Linked DNA regions of Nothobranchius furzeri. The protein of the gene in region 2 interacts with the protein of the main gene of each other region in a pairwise test. Links are inferred from orthologs where the notes say so. Each region holds a gene or a part of one and is shown on either strand. Other genes may lie near its edges. The genes, in order: myt1la, tnika, trim2a and dpysl2b.

The links.
Region 1: the proteins of tnika (region 2) and myt1la interact in a two-hybrid assay, tested with the Homo sapiens proteins (2 studies listed by IntAct). The link is inferred for Nothobranchius furzeri from reciprocal best matches to the Homo sapiens genes TNIK and MYT1L.
Region 3: the proteins of tnika (region 2) and trim2a interact in a two-hybrid assay, tested with the Homo sapiens proteins (2 studies listed by BioGRID and IntAct). The link is inferred for Nothobranchius furzeri from reciprocal best matches to the Homo sapiens genes TNIK and TRIM2.
Region 4: the proteins of tnika (region 2) and dpysl2b interact in a two-hybrid assay, tested with the Homo sapiens proteins (2 studies listed by BioGRID and IntAct). The link is inferred for Nothobranchius furzeri from reciprocal best matches to the Homo sapiens genes TNIK and DPYSL2.

The regions. Positions count from the first base shown.
Region 1 is NC_091742.1:17,091,982-17,097,547, reverse strand, and holds the start of myt1la (myelin transcription factor 1-like, a), read right to left. Parts: upstream 3,725-5,566; 5' UTR 3,591-3,724; intron 3,506-3,590; exon of another isoform or gene 3,386-3,505; intron 1,561-3,385; 5' UTR 1,469-1,560; intron 109-1,468; coding exon 54-108; intron 1-53. UniProt on the Homo sapiens protein: Transcription factor that plays a key role in neuronal differentiation by specifically repressing expression of non-neuronal genes during neuron differentiation.
Region 2 is NC_091758.1:22,722,314-22,727,081, reverse strand, and holds part of tnika (TRAF2 and NCK interacting kinase a), read right to left. Parts: intron 4,346-4,768; coding exon 4,239-4,345; intron 3,951-4,238; coding exon 3,848-3,950; intron 3,679-3,847; coding exon 3,529-3,678; intron 3,449-3,528; coding exon 3,349-3,448; intron 3,247-3,348; coding exon 3,076-3,246; intron 3,000-3,075; coding exon 2,856-2,999; intron 2,749-2,855; coding exon 2,614-2,748; intron 2,385-2,613; coding exon 2,284-2,384; intron 2,166-2,283; coding exon 2,016-2,165; intron 1-2,015. UniProt on the Homo sapiens protein: Serine/threonine kinase that acts as an essential activator of the Wnt signaling pathway. Recruited to promoters of Wnt target genes and required to activate their expression. May act by phosphorylating TCF4/TCF7L2.
Region 3 is NC_091744.1:16,885,605-16,891,122, reverse strand, and holds the start of trim2a (tripartite motif-containing protein 2), read left to right. Parts: upstream 1-2,189; 5' UTR 2,190-2,324; intron 2,325-5,518. UniProt on the Homo sapiens protein: UBE2D1-dependent E3 ubiquitin-protein ligase that mediates the ubiquitination of NEFL and of phosphorylated BCL2L11. Plays a neuroprotective function. May play a role in neuronal rapid ischemic tolerance.
Region 4 is NC_091746.1:40,588,563-40,592,217, forward strand, and holds part of dpysl2b (dihydropyrimidinase-related protein 2b), read left to right. Parts: intron 1-53; coding exon 54-174; intron 175-721; coding exon 722-878; intron 879-965; coding exon 966-1,107; intron 1,108-1,192; coding exon 1,193-1,363; intron 1,364-2,315; coding exon 2,316-2,495; intron 2,496-3,655.

The DNA.
Region 1 (5,566 bases), on a different chromosome or scaffold from region 2:
TCTAAAGCTTTATTAACTACGAAACCTAACCTCGTCATGAGAAGACTTATTACCTCGGACTCCTTTGGACCGGGTTCGATGGCGTTTTTCTGCCACATTAATCTCCATCTGGAAGAAAAAGGAAAATGTTTAGAGTGTGCTGAATGTTTAGTTGGAAACAACTGGACGAATCTGGTTTTTCTGAAGACGTCTCATCGCTTATCCTAGAAGCTTCTTCAGTTCTGAAACTCGGGTTGGAAGTAGGAAACTTATGGGGTGTGGTCTGAAATCAACATACTGACAGAAGAAAGAAAGAAAACAATCTTTTATATAGTGTCACATGACAGAGAATTAAAAGTATCATAAAAATGAGAAAAATAAAAAATTGCGATTAAAAATATGTGAGGAAAGAGAAAGTGAAATATGAAGAAGCAACCAGTGGATCCCGGGAAAGGTGGAATAAGAGCAGAACCAGGAGAGGGAGGTGAGGAAGGTCCCACCAAACCCGGGGGAGAGAGATCCAGAGTCTGGGGGCCACAGCAGCAGATAATCTGTCACCTTTGACCTATAGCCTGGTACTGCACAACCAGTGAAAGGAAGAGGCAACAAGAGAACTGACATGAGAATCCAGGGTGAGAGCTGGGTCAAAGGTCACGCCAAGATTCCTGACGAAAGGTTTGGTGTGAGAAGCAAGCTGACCAAGAGAGTCTCTGACTTTGAGAACCAGCTTGTCTGGGGCACAGATGAGGATCTCAGTCTTATCTTCATCCAGCTGTAGAAAGCTCCCAGCCATCCAGTTTTTGATAGAGTCTAAGCAGGTGTGTAACAGCTGCAGCTTAGACATCTCATGGGGCTTAAAGGAGATGTACAGTACAGGCAGGACAATAGGAGTTTCTGATGAGGTCATTGTTATTTCCTATAAGATCACCAAGGTCATAAGTCCTTGGCACCGCCCTCTATGTAGCTCCCTACTTGTGTCGTCGGTGCTGTTGGTCCCAACAACGCCCACGTGTCTCAAGGTGCGGGGTTTGGTTACGGCAGCTGCTCCACTCTGAAGAATTTGGTCTTTCTACTTGGAGTCAACAACAAACATGTGCAGGTGTGTTTTTCTAAAGGCAACAAACACTGAATGGTGACGGCCGAACTGGCCCCAAATTCACGCCACAGAGACGATAATCCAGTCGGAAAACTGTTAAATGGGAGGTTTTTTTCTCAGGTGTTCAATTAAAACAGGAATGGGGAACCCTGGCCCTCGAGGGCCGGTATCCTGCATGTCTCTGCTCATCAAGCTCTGCAGAAGCTTGTTAGTCACCTGCTGATTGAAATCAGGTGTGATGATGCAGGGTTGAAACTAAAATATGCTGGATAGTGGCCCTCGATGGACCAGGGTTCCCCACCCCTGAACTAAAAGGACCAATCAGCTGACTCGGAGAACTGCATTCTCATCAGTGATCCAGTCAGACTGCAGGTTGGAGTCGTGTAGTTGTACCTGCTCGTAACTTTGCTGTGGCTCCGCCTCAATCTGCTGCTGGTCTTCAAACTGAAGATAGTTCAAACAAACAACCCCTCAGAGGCCATGACCTACAGAGACAAGAGGAGAACACATACACACACACACACACACACACACACACACACACACACACACACGCACACACACACACACACACTCTCTCACTAAGATCCACTGGTCTTCAACTTTATTACAAATATAAACTATCAGCTAACTTAGTGATGCTTCCAGGCTGAGGCTCCACCAAGCATGCTCAATTTTTCCTGCAGGATTCCTGCTAAAGATCTAAACAAGGCTCCAACCCTTTCGCCAAGGCAGGGGCGGAAATGGAGGGATGGACAAAGAAGCAGAAGAAATTCATCAGCACAACAAAACCCAGAATCCAGCTGGCCTGTTGAGCCTGATCTGAAACATTTCTCTGGAAAAGCATGAAAAGTTTATTCTGAGCAAACCAACACTGTAATCTGTCAAAGTCGTGTGGAAACTCCTGAGTTTCACATAGTAGACTGAATCATCAGCAAACAAGTGACCTGAGCAACACAGGAGCAGGTAAAGGCCCTAAAGATGGTCCACGAGGAATGTAAGGAAAGGTTTTTCAGTTTGACGTGGCTCGCCATGGTAACAGCAGCATCAGGCCGTTTCTCAGTACCAGACACGTGTGTTCTTGGCAGGGAAACCAGAAAGTCCGTTCTACTGAGGACGGGAGAATGAGGACGCACTCCGCTCTGTCCTGGCAACAAGCGCTGCCTGTTGCTATGGTTACAAAATGACCTGACACAACAATTAAAGTTCACTTTGTCCCTTAAATAACAATGAATGCATATTTATATAATGCTTGGTCTATTTTCATCAAGCATCCAGCATTTCCTGTTAAATGAAGAAAAAAAGATTCTTTTTCCTCAAAAAAGAGCAGTGCTGCTTTTATTTTGATAGGGTTTTAGCTAATTAGCTATTTGAGGGATTGTGAAGTGTGAAAATAAGTTACGCACAGCAAATTTTACGGCTTACACACAGTAACAGACAACTTGGATTGTTTTATATGTTTCTGTTGTAAGAAACTACAGTTATAGGGTTTCTGCTCTGGTGTTTGGAGTACAACAGCTTGTGAGGCAATGCATTATGGGATATTTTGCTGTTGGATGCATCGATGCATCCTGGATACCATGGGTGGAGCAAGAACAAATCCCAAAACTTTGAGTGAATTTGCTGTGATGCGTACTTGGGCCATCGTTGATGGCGTTTCACAAGGACGTCGGTACACAAGGTCAGATGAGTACGCATATTGAGAAACAGCTTCAATGTCTCATTAGGGTTTCCATGGTAACATCCGTGGCTCATCAAGGTCACCACGGTAAACACCAGTTGCTCCTGAGGGTCACCATGGTAACCACCCACATGTCCCATAGACAATTAGAAGTCAAATAAAATTGTTATTAAATATTTTTGACACTTCAAATGATAGTTAGACTGTCAGCTGAACATCATGAAGATGTTTCCTCCTGACATCATCAGGTCTAAACCAGCTGTGAGGGTTCTGCTTCACCAGATCCCTGTTGTCTCCACATACACAGCTATGGAACCCTAACCAGAAACTTACCTGATAAATCATCCAATCACATTACAGAATCAGGACTCGCTGCAGAGCTTCACAACAACAAATAACAGGGTCAAAGACTCGGACAGAGCAGCTGACAGCCTGCGTAGGTCCAAATAAACCAGAGAGAAAGTTCCCTCCATTTCACACGGACCTGGGACCAGAACCAGGACGACTGCAGCTGCAAACAGCTGGAGAACGATGGAGATGGGTGGTGGAGAAGGTGATGGAGGAGAGACGGGTGAAGAAGAAGGATGTTGGTACGAAAGCGGAAGATGACACAAAAAGAAGAAGCGTACCGAAATGTCAAAAGATGGAGCCTCCTTTTCCTCCCTCCTCCAAAAGTGTAAGCCTCCGATATTCAAGGTCTCCTTTCTGTTCCGTCTTTGTGATGAGTGGCCATGGCTTCAGCGATGGAGAGGAGGTGGAGGAGGAGGAGGGGGAGAGAGGGCTGTGTGATGAAGATGCTCCAGATGCAAATGAAGAAGAAGGAAATGGTTTTACCTCTCTGTATGTTCCTTCTTCTCCTGGCTTTTCTATTTTCACAAGGACGTGCACGTCGACTCGTCCACGCGTCTAACGGAGACGCAGCAGGAGGCGCAGCCCCCCCTCCGCATGAACTCAGCACGTTCTCTCCCTCTCTCTTTGTGTGCAGCGACGAGCAGCCGCTCAGTGCTGGAATAAAACCTGTCTCATTGTTCAGATGTGAATGGAAACACGGGCATCTGCTCCACCTGCTTCGTCACCAGCAGCCGGTTCATCAGCCGTCATCTGACTCATTTTAAACCTGATTTTAGTTCAGACGTGCTGCAGTTGCAAATCCTTCAGCACCATCAAAAGCTTCCTGTTGACCTGTTGGTGGACGAGAAGGAGGTCCCTCCCCCAGGTTAGGGTTATATTATGGGCCTTTTCCACCAACCAAACTGGCATGGAATGAGAAGGATCGGGTCGCTAAATATTTTGTTTCGATTGTTGAACCAGTGCAGGAACCCTACCCCGACCGGGCCAGTAGCGGGCCAGAGCGGGACACTACCCCTGATTGCCTCCCGGAGATCAGGGCAGGGCTAAATGTGGGTGGGGTCAAACATTTAGAGGTGGGCGGAGACAACTATTTGACTCCTGCCCCTCTCTCAATGGTCAAGTGGGCCGTCATTTGTGAGCCGCGGTCAACCCAGCCACATCTTATCCGCCACATAAATTTCCTTGCGCTTCTACACCAGTCTTTACGGTACCACATTTTAAAAAAATTCATTAAAAATCATCAAGAGTAGTTGATGTCCAACTTTCAACACATCCTTCCTCTGGGACACCTACTGTACCTGTGTGCCAGATTTCAGACAGATGTACTGTAGAAATCCTCAGATATTAAAGCAAACTTGTAATTAATGTAATACAGTCAATACAATAATGTCATTTTAAAAAATTCATAAAAAATCATCCTTAATAGCTGATGTCCAACTTTCACCACATCCCTACAGATTTACTGTAGAAATCCTCAGATATTAAAGCAAACTTGTAATTAATGCAATACAGTCAATACAATTATGTCATTTTAAAAAATTCTTAAAAAATCATCCTTAATAGCTGATGTCCAACTTTCACCACATCCCTACTCTGGGACACCTATTGTACCTGTGTGCCAGATTTCAGACATATTTACTGTAGAAATCCTCAGATATTAAAGCAAACTTGTATTTAATGCAATACAGTCAATACAATTATGTCATTTTCAAAAATTCATACAAAATCATCCTTAATAGTTGATGTTAGAGCCCTGCACGGGCCTAAAATCTGAGCCCGTGTCCGGCCCGGCCTGAGGGGGTGGAGCCCCAGCCCGACCCGGCCCGAAAAGGTTTTCAGGATTCTCTGGCCCGACCCGAGCCCGACTTTTTTTTAACCAACTAAATGAAAACAAAGTGCATCAATCCTGACCAATGTGTTAAAAGACCTGCAGGATCCGATCAATTTGTTTTTCCCTCATTTACCATCACGGAGATGACGGCGCACTGGCTCTGGTGGTAATCAAGTTAAATTTTATCTCTTTCCAACAATTTTCACAAGAACACAAAACAGTCTAAAGCAGGGCTTGTGTTGACCGGATAGTTCCCGTATTTGACGGTTTATTTTGACGGAGAAAGAATAGAAAGAATTACCCCGACGCATGCAGACGAACTGACATTTTATTCATTACGCACATTGCAGATGTAGCTAAAAGATTCCCATCTGAACATCTGAGCTGCTCAGCGCAGCTTGCTGTCAGCGCATATGTGCACAACGAGCTGAAGTTGTGGAGATTGGCTTGGAGCACATCGCAGAACCAGAACGCATGCGTGAAGGTTCCTCCCACTGAAGCGAGGGTTTTCCAAACCCCGTCTCTCAGAGAGACTTGTCACTTAGAAAATGTTCCCTGATTATGAAACTTTGGCTGAATAGTGCTTGTTCCTGTTTCCAATTTGGCAACGCATTCATGAGCCGTCTGA
Region 2 (4,768 bases):
GCATGGATGAAAGGTGGAAACAGTGAGCTTTCATTTTTATTGACACTGACATGGAATGGTGTGGGTGCTCTTTTAAGCACGATTAAAGGCTTTCCAAAAGGCAACTTTGTAACATTCTCACCAGCAGGTTGTTTTCTTTTTCAATTTAATTTGTGGAATTTTACAGACAAAAATAGAAAAGTGATGAATATATATATATATATATATATATATATATATATATATATATATATATATATATATATATATATATATATATAGATAGATAGATAGATAGATATTATATATATGTATGTATATATATATATATATATATATATATATAGATAGATAGATAGATAGATAGATAGATAGATAGATATTATATATATATATATATATATATATATATATATATATACTTGAGTCTTTGAAAATGTTCTAACTGTTAAGCACAGAGGTGGATCAGTCATTATATGGGGTTATTGAAGCTAGTGGCAGAACATATTTTAAATTTTATTGAGGGTGGTACAGCATGCATCAGTCACACCTACATAATTTATCATTAATGAGTTACTGAAGAGTTGCAGTGCACAAAAATGTTAACGGCTTTTCATAACTCCACCTTCCATTGTCTCACTTGCTGCCAGGAATCGGGACTATAAAACTTTTCCACACAGGTGTGTCCTCTGAACTAGTCACTGCTTTAAACGATTTTTAGAGATCTTTACGTCTTTTCTCTTGTGTCAGTTCACAAACTGCATTTAATAGAGAATGATGTGCTCTTTTCTTGAAGAGAATAGTGACTAATGTATTTTTTGTCTGGTTGCTGCCCATCCCTAACGTCTGCACCGTGGTATGAATACGTGCAACGTTACATCCCGAGTATTTTAGAACCTCAAAATTCATAATAGACAATCATAAGAGTACTTCTAGATAAATAGCCATAGCGCACAGGCTACAGTAATAGGGTCCAGCTCTCCAAACAAGATTTAGATCCAAAATGTTACCAAAATTTCTTATACAAATCTTTTAGAAATCAGGTTACCTTTTACTTAAAGGAAACAGAAAACCTTTCATGCCAGATCAGAGGGTTTAATGCTTGATTCCTTTAAACACTCACATCTCCATTCAGTCTTTGTTTGGTGAAATATTTCCACAAAATCAGGAAAATGACTGAATTGCTTTAAAGACCAAGTTCACTTTTTTAAAACACATTTTCAGTGGTCTAACATAAAACAAATGCCTTGTGAGTCAATCTTTGTGGGGAAAAAGAGCTCTGGCGCTCAGAGGGGAGCTTCAGACAGCAGGATTTGGAGTTTTAGATATCTCACTTCTGATTGTCCAACAGCAACACGACTCTGCCACTGGCAACACTGATGTTTTATCTCCACAACTAACACAAGCCTGAAGGACTTCGGTCACATTGCTAATGCTAATGGTTGCCAACAGTTAGCTTCTACTAGCCAAGAGGTGCTCTGCTTTCTCTCGGATGCTATAACAACAACTGCCCTTCAAGTCGCAAGCCAAGATGGGTGAGACCCTGAATGTAAATTTCACAATGTGACCTAAAATTGACAGGCTTTTCAAATCCAAGCATTCCTTCATCTATTTTCTATTGACGCCTAATGCAGGAAATAGGGGTAGAAGACCATTTTTATATTCAGCCTGGGTGTAAAGTACTTGTAGCAAGACTCCTTTCACATTTAGCCTGCATGTGAAACTCAGAGTGACTGATCGTATTTCAAAAGTTACACGCAAAAAATGTGTTTTTTTTCTCTGTGAACTTGGTCTTCAAGTTAAATTTCTTTCATCCTATGAGCTCTTTCTACAATCCAAAGCCCAACGTGGTATGCTTTGTCCGTTGTTACAAGAGTACATCATTGTATTTCTGCTCTACATAGTTGATCCAAACACAACATTTAGAAAAATAAAAATAAATCAGGTGCAAAGTTAAATTTGATGTTAGTCCTTTAGCTGCATGGCAATTAATCAAGGAACTGTCTTAAAGCTACAAAGCAAAGACCAATACTAACATGAGAGGGGATATAAATGTCGTAAGGGTTGCCGGAGTCCACATCGATGACATGGAAGCCCACACTGGAGCCATAGATGACTTTTAACCTTTGACCTTCCTCCACTGTGAGGTCAACCAGCTGAGGGCGGTGCTGCAGCTCAGCGAATGACTAAAATCAGAGAAGAGTGGAAATGTTTTTCTAAAAGAAACTTTTGAAACTGTCAGTTTAAAGCATTATTTTCTGATGCTAGACATAAAAAACGTGTTTATATGTGAGGTTTTTGTACCTTAAAGGCCATGAACTTGTGGTAGGGTTTAGGTGCCCACGCATAGATTTCCACAGCGTTCTTAAGTGCAATCACCAGGAATTTTATCCTTTCATATTTAACTGGAAACATGACAAAAGCCCACAAAAAGAGCAGGTTTTAAACCTCTAAATTCTTCAAATGATACATTTAAGTGCCTAAATACATTCTGAGGGAATTTCTAAATACTTGGTTTTCTGTTTGAAACGTGAAGATATCTTTAAAAAGCATCATAAAATCTTTACAGCCTTTAGTTAAATGATAAAAAATTCAAGCCTACAATTTTATTTACTTTGCTGAAGTTTTTCTTACCAACTTTATAATGCAAACAGCCCTCCAGTTCTCCAACTGTAACCCAACCCTGTTTCTTTTCAACTTCTGGGTCGTTGTGTAATATTCTGTTCCTCAACCAGGACAAATAGTACACTCGTAACTTATTCTTTTTCCCTGAGAAAAGAGGAGACATAAATATTAATCTAGGTACACACGGAATGTATTTGAACTAAAATAAACACAAGTGTGTGTTACGATCCAATCAGAGAGGTTTTATCTACCTGATATGGTGACTAAAACATTAAGTCCTTCCAGAACATCCATCTGTAGGAAGCGCCGTCTGGTTATAAGGTTATAAACTTTTCCCTGTCCACTTCGGTCAAGCAGCATTAAACCGTTTTCGGTCCCCACCATCAGGTTCACACCTAAAAGCACAAAACGCATTAAAGAAAACAAGAATGCAAAAATGAAAATGAGAATGAGGAAGATTTTTCATTTTACCCCAGAGTGCAGCACATAGGATCTCCGAGTTGAAGCGTTTCTTGTATTTCCGGATCTCTGGTGTGTCACTGTGAGGTCTGATGTTTGTCGGATTAACGTTCACCACTGAGATTTTTCTGGCTTCGTTTAGTTGGGCCTGCTCCTGCCTCAGCAGCTCGTTGGCGAACATGGCTACGGTTAGAAAGGAAAGGTGAAGAAAAAAAAAAAGAACATACTTTAACAAATGTTATCACCCATCATTGATTTAGCAGAAAAATAACTCAAAAACTCCACCTGCTGCTGAGTTCTCATCATCCATTTCACCTGGAGACGTTTGGAAAACCCGTGGATCACCAAATGGGGTGAATGATGCTTTGGACCCACCAAGACCAAACTGCAAAAAGAAGTTAATAAAACTGCTCAGCAGACGCCAACACAGTTAATGTGCACAAGCAGGACGTGTCAGGATCTGACCTCCCCCATGTTTCTCAATTCCTGCAGAGCAGAAGTGGGTGTGGCTGTGGGGGAGTTGCTCTGCTGGACCAGGTCAGGGAGGTTACCATGGTTACTGTGATTTCCAAAGCCATTACTTTCAGTGAGACTCCCTCTCCTCCTCTCCTCAACCTGAAAGACAAGGCATCATATGAGATTTAGCAAAATGTAAACAAACCCATGAGCTGGGCCTCTCTTGAGATTAATGTAGCCTGTCAGTGTGTGTGTGTGTGTGTGTGTGTGTGTGTGTGTGTGTGTGTAAGGTTGAGGCTGAGTGTGTAAGCGTGTTCACGTTCATCACCCCTCTCATCACCAGTGTCCCGTCCTTGGAGCTATTATAAGCATCTCCCAGAGCGTCCTCTGCCAGCCCTCCATACACCTCACCACTGTTCTGTGATGCTGGCCTGAAACACACACACACACACACACACACACACACACACACACACACACACACACACACACACACACACACACACACACACACACACACACACACACATACAACCACACACACACACACACACACACACACACACACACACACACACACACAAAGATCATTGATAAATTAGTTCTTCGTAAGCTATACAGGCAAGCTTCTAGCATGGTTCAAATTCCAAACAAAGCCATATGTAAAAGACAAGCAGTAACTGACAAGGAAACAGGGAAACTAAGAATGGAAAACGTACATGATCCGAGGAATGTCACTGACAGCAACAGTGCCGTCATGCCCCACTATCTCGCCATCCTCAGCACTGCTCTCTGAATCTTCACTTGAGGATGAGTAATCTGTTACCTAAAAGCAAAAAACCTAAGTCAACTTAAAAGTAATGCTAGTTTGTGGAGAAATTTTGCTTAAAGCAGTTTTAAACTGATCGTGACCTCCATGTCTGAAAACTGAAGCCAATGTGGCAGTGCTTAGAACAAACGTCTCTAATGACCAGAGGAAATGTGCGGAAGCAATCTTGTGTCAAAAACTCTTAAATTCATAAAGACAAATAAAATGCGCTAGTACCTTATTGACCCGAATATAAGACGACCCCCTTTTCCAAGACTAATCTTCAGGAAAGGACAAAAAAATCCTTTTTTAAATAATTTTTAAATACTGAGCAAAAGTACCACTTTAATGCAAACTGTCAGAACTTTGCTGACAGGTGAAATCAAAAGTCAAATGAGGCTTTTATTCAGACGTCCTCTGCCTCGCTGTACTCACTCACAC
Region 3 (5,518 bases), on a different chromosome or scaffold from region 2:
AAAAATATTCACATCAGGGGGGAATTCTTATTCTTGTTTTCCCTTCAGGTAAAGCATGTAATTTATGGACATATGTCCACAAAACATTTGAGCATTCGAAGGCAATGGAAATTGAATATTTAGCAAAAATCCATTTAGTTTTTAAACTGAGAAACCATCTAAAGGCTCAGAAACCCTTTGCAGGTGTTCTGGATTCATGAGGTCATTAGAGTGTGACACTTTGAGTCTAGAATATTGAACCTTTTCACAATATTCTAACTGTCTGAGATTTTGAATGTGGGGTTTTCATAAGTTGTAAGCCAGAATCCTAAACAGTTTCGCTGATATTTTTGATGGCTAGATCATTTCTCTAGCATCCTCTCCAGAAGAAGAAAAGAAGAAGAAAATGTCTTTTCTATAGCGCCTCTCAAGATAAAAATCATGAGGTGCTTCACAAAAACAAAAAATGTAAAAATATAAAATGAATTTAGAAATTGGTTAAAAATATATTTAAAATGAGCAAAAAATAGACAATTGTGATTAAAAAAAGTTAAGAAAGAGAGAGAGTGGATAGGAAAGAGGGAAATCAGTGGATCCTGAGGAAGGTGGAATAGGTGGGGAGAGCAGAATAAAGAGAGAGTGGTGAAGAAGGTCATACAAAAACCAGCTTGAACAAGTGAGTTTCAGCTGCTTTTTAAAGGAGACCACTGAGTCCACTGATCTCAGGCTCAGGGGGAGAGAGGTCCAGAGTCTGGGGGCCACAGCAGCAAATTATCTGTCACCTTTGGTCTTTAGCCTGGTGCTGCACAACCAGTAGGCTTTGATCACTGGACCTCAGGGACCTGCTGGGGGTGTAGGGACTAAGAAGATCACCAATGTAAGATGGTGCTTGTCCATGTAAGGCCCTATAGACCAGAACCAGGATCTTGAAATGAACCCTGAAGTTGACTGGCAGCCAGTGAAGCTGGAGGAGAAGCGGGGTGATGTGGGTGTGTTTGGAGGACTTGGTCAGAAGCCGAGCACAGGCATTCTGAACCACCTGTAGACGGTTCAGGGAGGTTCTGCTCAGACACGTGAAAAGAGAGTTACAGTAGTCTAAGCGTGAGGAGATGAAGGTGTGGAGAACTGTCTCAAGTTCAGAGCGGGACAGAATGGGACTCAGCTTAGCAATGTTCCTGAGATGGAAGAAGGAAGAGCAAACAAGAGAACTGACATGAGAATCCAGGGTGAGAGCTGGGTCAAAGGTCACGCCAAGATTTCTGACGGAAGGTTTGGTGTGAGAAGCAAGCTGACCAAGAGAGTCTCTGACTTTGGGAACCAGCTTGTCTGGGGCACAGATGAGGATCTCAGTCTTATCTTCATTCAGCTGAAGAAAGCTCCCAGCCATCCAGGCTTTGATAGAGTCTAAGCAGGTGTGTAACAGCTGCAGCTTAGACATCTCATGGGGCTTAAAGGAGATGTACAGTTGGATGTCATCTGCATAAAGATGGTAGGAGATTCCTTTGAAGGAATCCTCTCCAGCTGCTGTCGTTTTTGATATTCATCTTTAATCTGCATGATAAAACTTTATCCATCCTTTCTAGAAATTGGTCATATGCAGACATTGCATGGCAGCACTTACACAAAGGCGATCAGCAATGGTCACATGGTGCTTGTGTAAAGAAAAAGTTGAGGCCAAAGTAAAACAAGTGCCACTAGTGGATGCCTGCGCTAAGTCCCGCCCCCTTCCAGAAAGGAAATGAGACGTGTCCTGATGTTTTCCCAAAAGCAAACTAGAGCTCTGATAACAGCAGCAATTTGACACAAACTTTTAACATTTTTCAATATTTGTTGCAAACATGTTGAAAATACGACACTTTTCTGAAATTTGGGGCAACATTTAATAATTTACATGATCTTTTTTTTAAATTGATATTAAAGCTATTCCCATTGAAAAACTATGCAGAGAGCCAGACCCACCACATTGAGCCTTTTTCTCTTCTTGAATAATATAAAAATTATAAATAATAAATAAACCCAGAGCCTATTTTTACACGTTTGTGTAATATTTATAAGGTTTCTCCTGTCTGAGTGCCTTTTCTCTGCCCAGACCGGATTAGCCCAGATTACATCCAGCTCGTTGCTCTCCTAGCTCTTTATTGTGGGCAGGTCCCTTTAACAAGTGAAGGGGAAGTGGTTGGAGGCTGGTCTCAGATCAGCTGGAGGCTGTCACTGCAGAGCAGCTAACAGGTCAGCTGGTGGACATGAAGCAGTGCTAAACCAGGAAAATCCCTCTAACTGTCACCGAGTTTTAGAGTTTCTCCTGGTGTAGTTGCAGATTTTATTTCAAACAAGACTCCTTTGAGGTGAGTAAGAACTATTTGATAATGGCATATATGCAAACTTATCTAATCAGCTGAATCCAGAGTGGTTTGTTGTGACGAGCTGCTCTTACATGATGAGTTTTGTCATCAAGCAAAAATGTGGCTTTATTTATTATCTAAAGGGGGAGAAAAGTCTTGTAGCTGAAGCATTTTCCACACTGCAGGAGTTTGTAGTTTTATGGTGTCATGCACTAATCTGCATCAGAGGTTCTGGTCCATTCTGACATGACAGCATCACACAGCTGCTGCAGATTTCTCGGACCCCCATGAGGTGAGTCTTCCATTCAATCACATCCACAAGTTCTGGACTGGATTCAGATCTGGTGACTGTGGGGGTCACTGGTGTCTGCTATCCCGCTGGAAGTAGCCATCAGAGGACGGGTCCAATGAGGCCACAACTTGAGTCAGCTCTTGGGCTCACACGGGACTAGGTCCAAAGTGGAACCAGAACATCTCCCTCCCACCATTACACTGCCAGCAGCTGCATGGAGCATTCATACAAAGCAGGAAGGATCCATGCTTTCACGTTCGTGACACCAAATTCTGACCCACCCATCTGAATGTTGCAGCTGAAATCCAGACTCGTCAAACCAGGACACATCTTCTAGTCTCTTCTGGTCCAGCTCTGGTGATCCTGTGCGAATTGTAGCCTCAGGTTCCTGTTCTTAGCAGAGATCTTCTGCTGCTGGAGTCTGCTCCATGTTCATCATGCTGTGGTTCCGAGATGCTTTTCTGTAGACCATGGCAATATTCAATCGCTATTTGAGCTCTTTTTCTTTGTCAATCGCCGTGAACCTGTCCGGCTGTTCTCCTCTGACCTCTGACATCAGTCAGGCTCTTATAGACCCTGTAGATGGTTGTGGGAGAGAATCTCAGCAGAACAGAAAGCTATGACATACTCAGACCAGTGTGGGCACCAACCATGCAGAGTCGCTTCAGTTTTGTTTCTTCTTAATGCTGATAGCAAGTTAGAACTTCAGCAGGTTTTCATCATGTCCGCATGAATGCATTGAGCTTGTTCTTGTGTGATTGGCTGATTAGCTGTTTGCATTAAAGATGTGATACACTGAAAGACCTTTTTTATTATTTCTGATTAAATTTGGTCAATCTGAGTTTTTCGTGCAAGCTGAACATGAAAACAGTCTCCTACACCTATCTGCTGCATTAACTTCTGATAGAAACTAGAGGATGAATCTCTAGGGTTTGAAAGGTTTGACAGATATGCATCCCACTGTCACTTAACATTCATGGACTTACCCATTTTGACTCACAACAGGGAAGGCTGTTGTTGGTTTAGCATCCAGGAAACAGCAGAGAACGTCTTGGCTATTAGAAGCTAACTGTTTGCATTAGCAATTCCACCACATGGCAGAACTCCTTCAGGCTTGTGTTATTTGTAGAGAAAATATGTCAACGTTACAAAGCAAACAGTTAGTGGTAGAGTCGTGTTGCTGTTAGCCAATCAGATGTGAGATGTACGGAATAAGACTCCAAATCCTGCCATCCTCTGCTCCCACCTTCTCTGGCTAACTTCTGCTTCCTGAAACAGGATCGCCAGAGTTTTTTTTTACCCCACATTGACTAACAAGGCATTAATTTATCCTAGAGACCACTGAAAATGTGTTGGGAAAAATGAGTGAACTTGTTCTTTAGAATTCCATGATTTATGAAGGCAGCTTCTTTATTTAGTTAATGTGATGTTTTAGTGCAGCTCAGTGAGTGCTGCTGAGACTGATGCAGTAGTGGCTGCATCCCTGTGCTGCTGCAGCAGCGGTGAACATGTGGGAGGCGTTCTGTGCTGATCAGGAAGTGTAGCAGCTGCTGAGATGACTCAGTGCTCTGGAGAGATGCAACATGCTCCCTTCTCCGGATGAATTCTGCAGTTTTTTGATTATATCACAGTCAGTTAGTTTTGTGTGAACACAATGCTTTACTTTTCATATTTTAAATGCACTGAGTAACCCGCTGCCTTTCTATACTTGCATTTATATTGTTTTTTTAATATTTTATGACAAAATCAACTCATTCCATGTACCTCAGTGCATAACTCCCACTGGTTAAGCTTTGGTGTGTGTTCGACACACGGCAAGGATTTGTTATTTTTGATTTTTTTTAATAAACTGAAAGGTATTATTTAAATAATTAAAAATCCTGCACAAGAGTTTTCTGACCACCTTCCCTGCATCCGAACATAATCAATACTTAGCAGTAGGCTTCCCATCACCATCTGATCACTCTGACTGATAAATGATGAGTCTTTCCATTGCCTGTGGGGTATTGATGCTGCTGTTTGACCTCTCAGGATCAGCGGGTTATCATCGGTGAGCTCTGCTGGAGTTCTTCCATGGTGACATGTGATGTGGTAAAGCTTAATTAATGCTGGGTGTCGTCCAGCTGAGAGCATCTCTGACTGTCTGAGCTCAGGGATGGATTTGTAAACGGATTTAGTTGACAGTCTGAGGATGAAAAAAGCCCAGTAGGCATGGATGTAGATTATCCAAAAATGTCAATCTGCCAGAAATTAACATCTTGTTTTTTAAAACACTACTTTAGTTGAATTCATTGGGGTTTCAGTTCAGTTCTCAATTCTTTTCTAGAAAAGTTCATATAACTTTCACATTACAGAGATTTAAGATTTCATGGTAATTCCAGGAGAATTGTTGTGAAATGTAGCTAGATACAAAGCTATTTTCTGCTGAAATTACCACTTAATAAGATTCATGATGGTGTAAATGCTTCTAATATGTGTGCATGAACTGTTTCAAGCATTTTTCAGATTGGAGCTGTGGCATCTCAGACACGATGAGTTAAGTGGTGCAAAATTTCTCAAAAGCTAATAGTAGCAACTAAATTCTTCAGTGATGGATACAACCTGACTTTGATCAATATTAAATAAACTCCATAAAATAACAACCCTGCAAACTAGAAATGCAGTTCTGTATACATGTAATTCAAGAATGCAACACTGGATGGCAACACACTACTATTCCAAAGAACATGAATGTAACATGTGCTATTTTTAATTCAATGATCTGAGTGAAAATGTTGTGCCCCATTGCAGTCTACTGCACATTTTAGATGTTTATTATTTAAATAAACACAGATGGGCCCCGGTCTCTGGTTCCTCAGGAGGATTTAAAGGGATACAAAGCAGTTTTGGCTTGCTTTTAGCACCC
Region 4 (3,655 bases), on a different chromosome or scaffold from region 2:
GACTTCATCAGTTCCATTGCCACATCTTCAAATAAACCTTTATTGTCCTGCAGGTGGAGGCGGAGGCTGTTAACCGTGCCGTGACTGTGGCCAATCAGACGAACTGCCCGCTCTACGTCACCAAGGTGATGAGTAAGAGTGCTGCTGATGTCATCGCCCAGGCGAGGAAGAAGGGTGAGGAGCCAAAACTGATACTTTGAAAAACAATCAGTTGAACAAGGAGCTGAAAGCGTTGGCAAATGTCGACTAGAAGGTGCACGTTTTCATGAGTCTACATTTCTAGTTTGTGGATTTTGAGCCGTAGAAGGTTGTCACATGTTTGCCTGGGTTCCAACCTTCAACGATGGTTGTAAGAGTTAGATCCCGACTGAAAGGCGGCTCCTCCTCATCAAAAGGAGCTAATGGAGGCGGTTTGAGCCTCCTGGTTGCCTCCCTCTGGAGGTTTTCTGGTTATTTTCTACTGGAGGTGGAGAGGGTCACTGAGGAGAACGATATCTGTCCTCCCCACCTGAACCTGTAACCTCCACACCCTATCTGTGGATAAGTGGAAAACCACTAATGAGTGGGAGACAGCTGGAATGCCCTGAGAAAACCTGTGCATCTGCATTTTTTTGTTGCAGAAAGACATTTACAGGTGTCTTTACTTAGTCCTATTATTTGTTCCTCTGAACATTTCAAATCTTAATATTTTATAGTATCTAATGTTCTGTTGGACTTTCAGGTACCGTGGTCTACGGAGAGCCCACCACTGCTAGCCTGGGAACAGACGGGTCCCACTACTGGAGCAAGAACTGGGCCAAGGCTGCAGCCTATGTCACCTCCCCTCCCCTCAGCCCTGACCCGACCACACCGGACTATCTCAACTCGCTGCTGTCCTGGTAAAGCTTTGATCCAAACCCTCATGTTAGGAAAACTTTGTCTGAGAGAAAACACTCAAAACAAAGTCCTCTCCACCATCTTTACAGTGGTGACCTGCAGGTGACAGGAAGTGCACACTGTCCCTTTAACACAGCTCAGCGCGCCGTGGGGAAAGACGACTTCACCTTGATCCCTGAGGGGGTCAACGGCACCGAGGAGAGGATGTCCATCATCTGGGACAAGTCTGTGGTACATGTTCACACAGACCGTAAGATAAGTCCAATTATCTGATTCAAGGTCAGCGATCCCAACACACAGTTCTGATTTACTCCAGGTGACGGGTAAGATGGATGAAAACCAGTTTGTGGCTGTGACCAGCACCAACGCCGCCAAGATCTTCAACCTGTACCCCCGCAAGGGGCGCATCGCCGTGGGGTCCGATGCAGATCTGGTGCTGTGGGACCCAGACGTCACCAAGATCATCTCCGCCAAGAGCCACAACTCGGTACAGCCTCCTGTGACTCGAGTGTTAGGCTTAGAGGAGACTCTTGCACAGGGCGTTGGTCTCACACAGCATCCAGGGAGTGATGTCATTCATAAAATCTGCCAGAGCTCAAACACATCATTGTCTGATTGTTAGCAGACCAATCGCTGTGTCTGTGTTCGCTCTGGGAATGTGTTCACTTAGTCCTGTTCTTTGGTTTCTTCTCATTTCATGGAGGAAATTGCTCGCTGCCAGTGTGTGTGTGTGTGTGTGTGTGTGTGTGTGTGTGTGTGTGTGTGTGTGTGTGTGTGTGTGTGTGTGTGTGTGTGTGTGTGTGAGTGAGAGAGGGAGAGAGGGAGAGAGTTATGGGATAGCCTTGTCTGCTGGTGATCTCATGTTGGGCTGTGGAGTTTGCCAGATTGCCATGACCTCAGCTTTAACTCCAGTAGCTTTTAGAAAGAGCAATTATAAGGCCTCCAAAAACACCCAAACCCCTCTGAAGACTAATCTTCTTCATCCTCTTCATCTGTTAGCATTTGGCCAAAGGGAACACTGTAAAATACATCAGCTCTGTACAATTTTTACACTTGTTTCTGCTGCTTTTTCTACATGTTTCAGTCCAACAATGTTCCACTGCTGTTTGGCAGATAATGCATGAGGGAGAGATTCATAAATCTTATTTGGGGGGTGGGGGGGGTGGAGAATGTGCATGGCCTTACATCATCCTGATGATAGAGGAAAATCTGTCTGGAGGATGTGAATCACCAGATCTCTGCTTTGAAGTTGTTTCTGTTCTGATCTGTTATGGTTTCGAGCATGCTGACTCTGAGGAGGCAGTAATAAAACATCACAGGAGTACGTCTGCCAGACAGGAACTTTAATTCTAAAAATCAGCATTGAAAAACCATTTTTACACTGGTGTTGGTTTGGTTAGGGCAGCACTGTAACATCACCGCTCTTGTTCTGCCCTCAGACTGTGGAGTACAACATCTTTGAGGGCTTGGAGGTGCGCGGCGGTCCCCTGGTGGTCATCAGCCAGGGGAAGATCGTCTTGGAGGAAGGAAACCTCCACGTCACCGAGGGTTCGGGTCGGTTTGTGGCCCGCAAACCTTTCCCTGACTACGTCTACAAGAGGATAAAAGCTCGCAGCAGGGTGCAGTAACTAGTTTCCTCTGCTTTGATGCTCTCTCTTCAGATTGCTACTGCTGAATGTCAAAGTGTGTTAAACTGGATTCAGGCGGTTGGACTTTTAGACTTAAAAACGCCACAACTTACATTTTAAAATTGGTTTGACTTTAAATCGTCTCACAAAACAGCTTCTAACAGGCTGTATAAAACTTAAAGTGACAGTTGAAATCCCACCTGTTTTAGGTTAGGATTGGTTTTCAGCTAACAGCTGGTCTGAACACAGCTAATACAAAGTGGATTACTGTCACCCTAGAACAACTCCACTCGTGGTTTTTCTGGCAAAAATATTCAGGGTTTCTAGCTTAGCAGCTTTGTTGCAACACTCACTGAGTTTATTTGACCTGTGTAAATCACACGTGAAACTCTAAATGGTGGAAAAGTCCATTTATTTCAGTAATTCACCTTAGACTGAGAAACCATCTAAAGGCTCAGGAACCCTTTAATGTGTTCTGGATTCATTAGTTGATTAGAGTGTGACACTTTGAGTCTACTGAACTTTTTCACAATATTGTAATTGTCTAATATTCAGAATGTGGGGTTTTCACCAGCTGTAAGCCATGATCACCACAATTATAACAAATAAAGACTTGGAATATCAGGATTTGCATAGAATGAGTGATATGTTAATTTCACTTTTTAAGTTGGATTATTGACATAAAAGAACTTTTGCACCATATTCTAATTTTTTGAGTTTCACCTGTATGCCAATGTCTTTTCGAGTCGGGTTTGCAGGTCCCAAGTCCTGATAAAGTTTAATTAAAATTGTGACACACAAAATAAACGAAGGAAAAAAAAATTAGGAGAAACATTTCCTTTTGTAGTTCTTAACTTACTTAGCAATTTGTACTCACGTTTTGTGTCTCCTATGACATTATTCCATTATTGTATACTACAGCATCCATTACCATTAGATACACAACGAATAATGCAAATTAGTTTATGGTGTCATTTACTGACTTCTAGTCACTTTTAGGATAGAAAGTAGCAACGTTCTTTACTGAGACATTAGCAGCACTAATAGCCTGTTATGCTAGTCATGTCAGATGTCCTTCTGTTAGCTGTTGCTTTACAAAAATTACATTTAAACCTTTGTCAGAAACCTGCCTAATGAACTAATTTAGTATA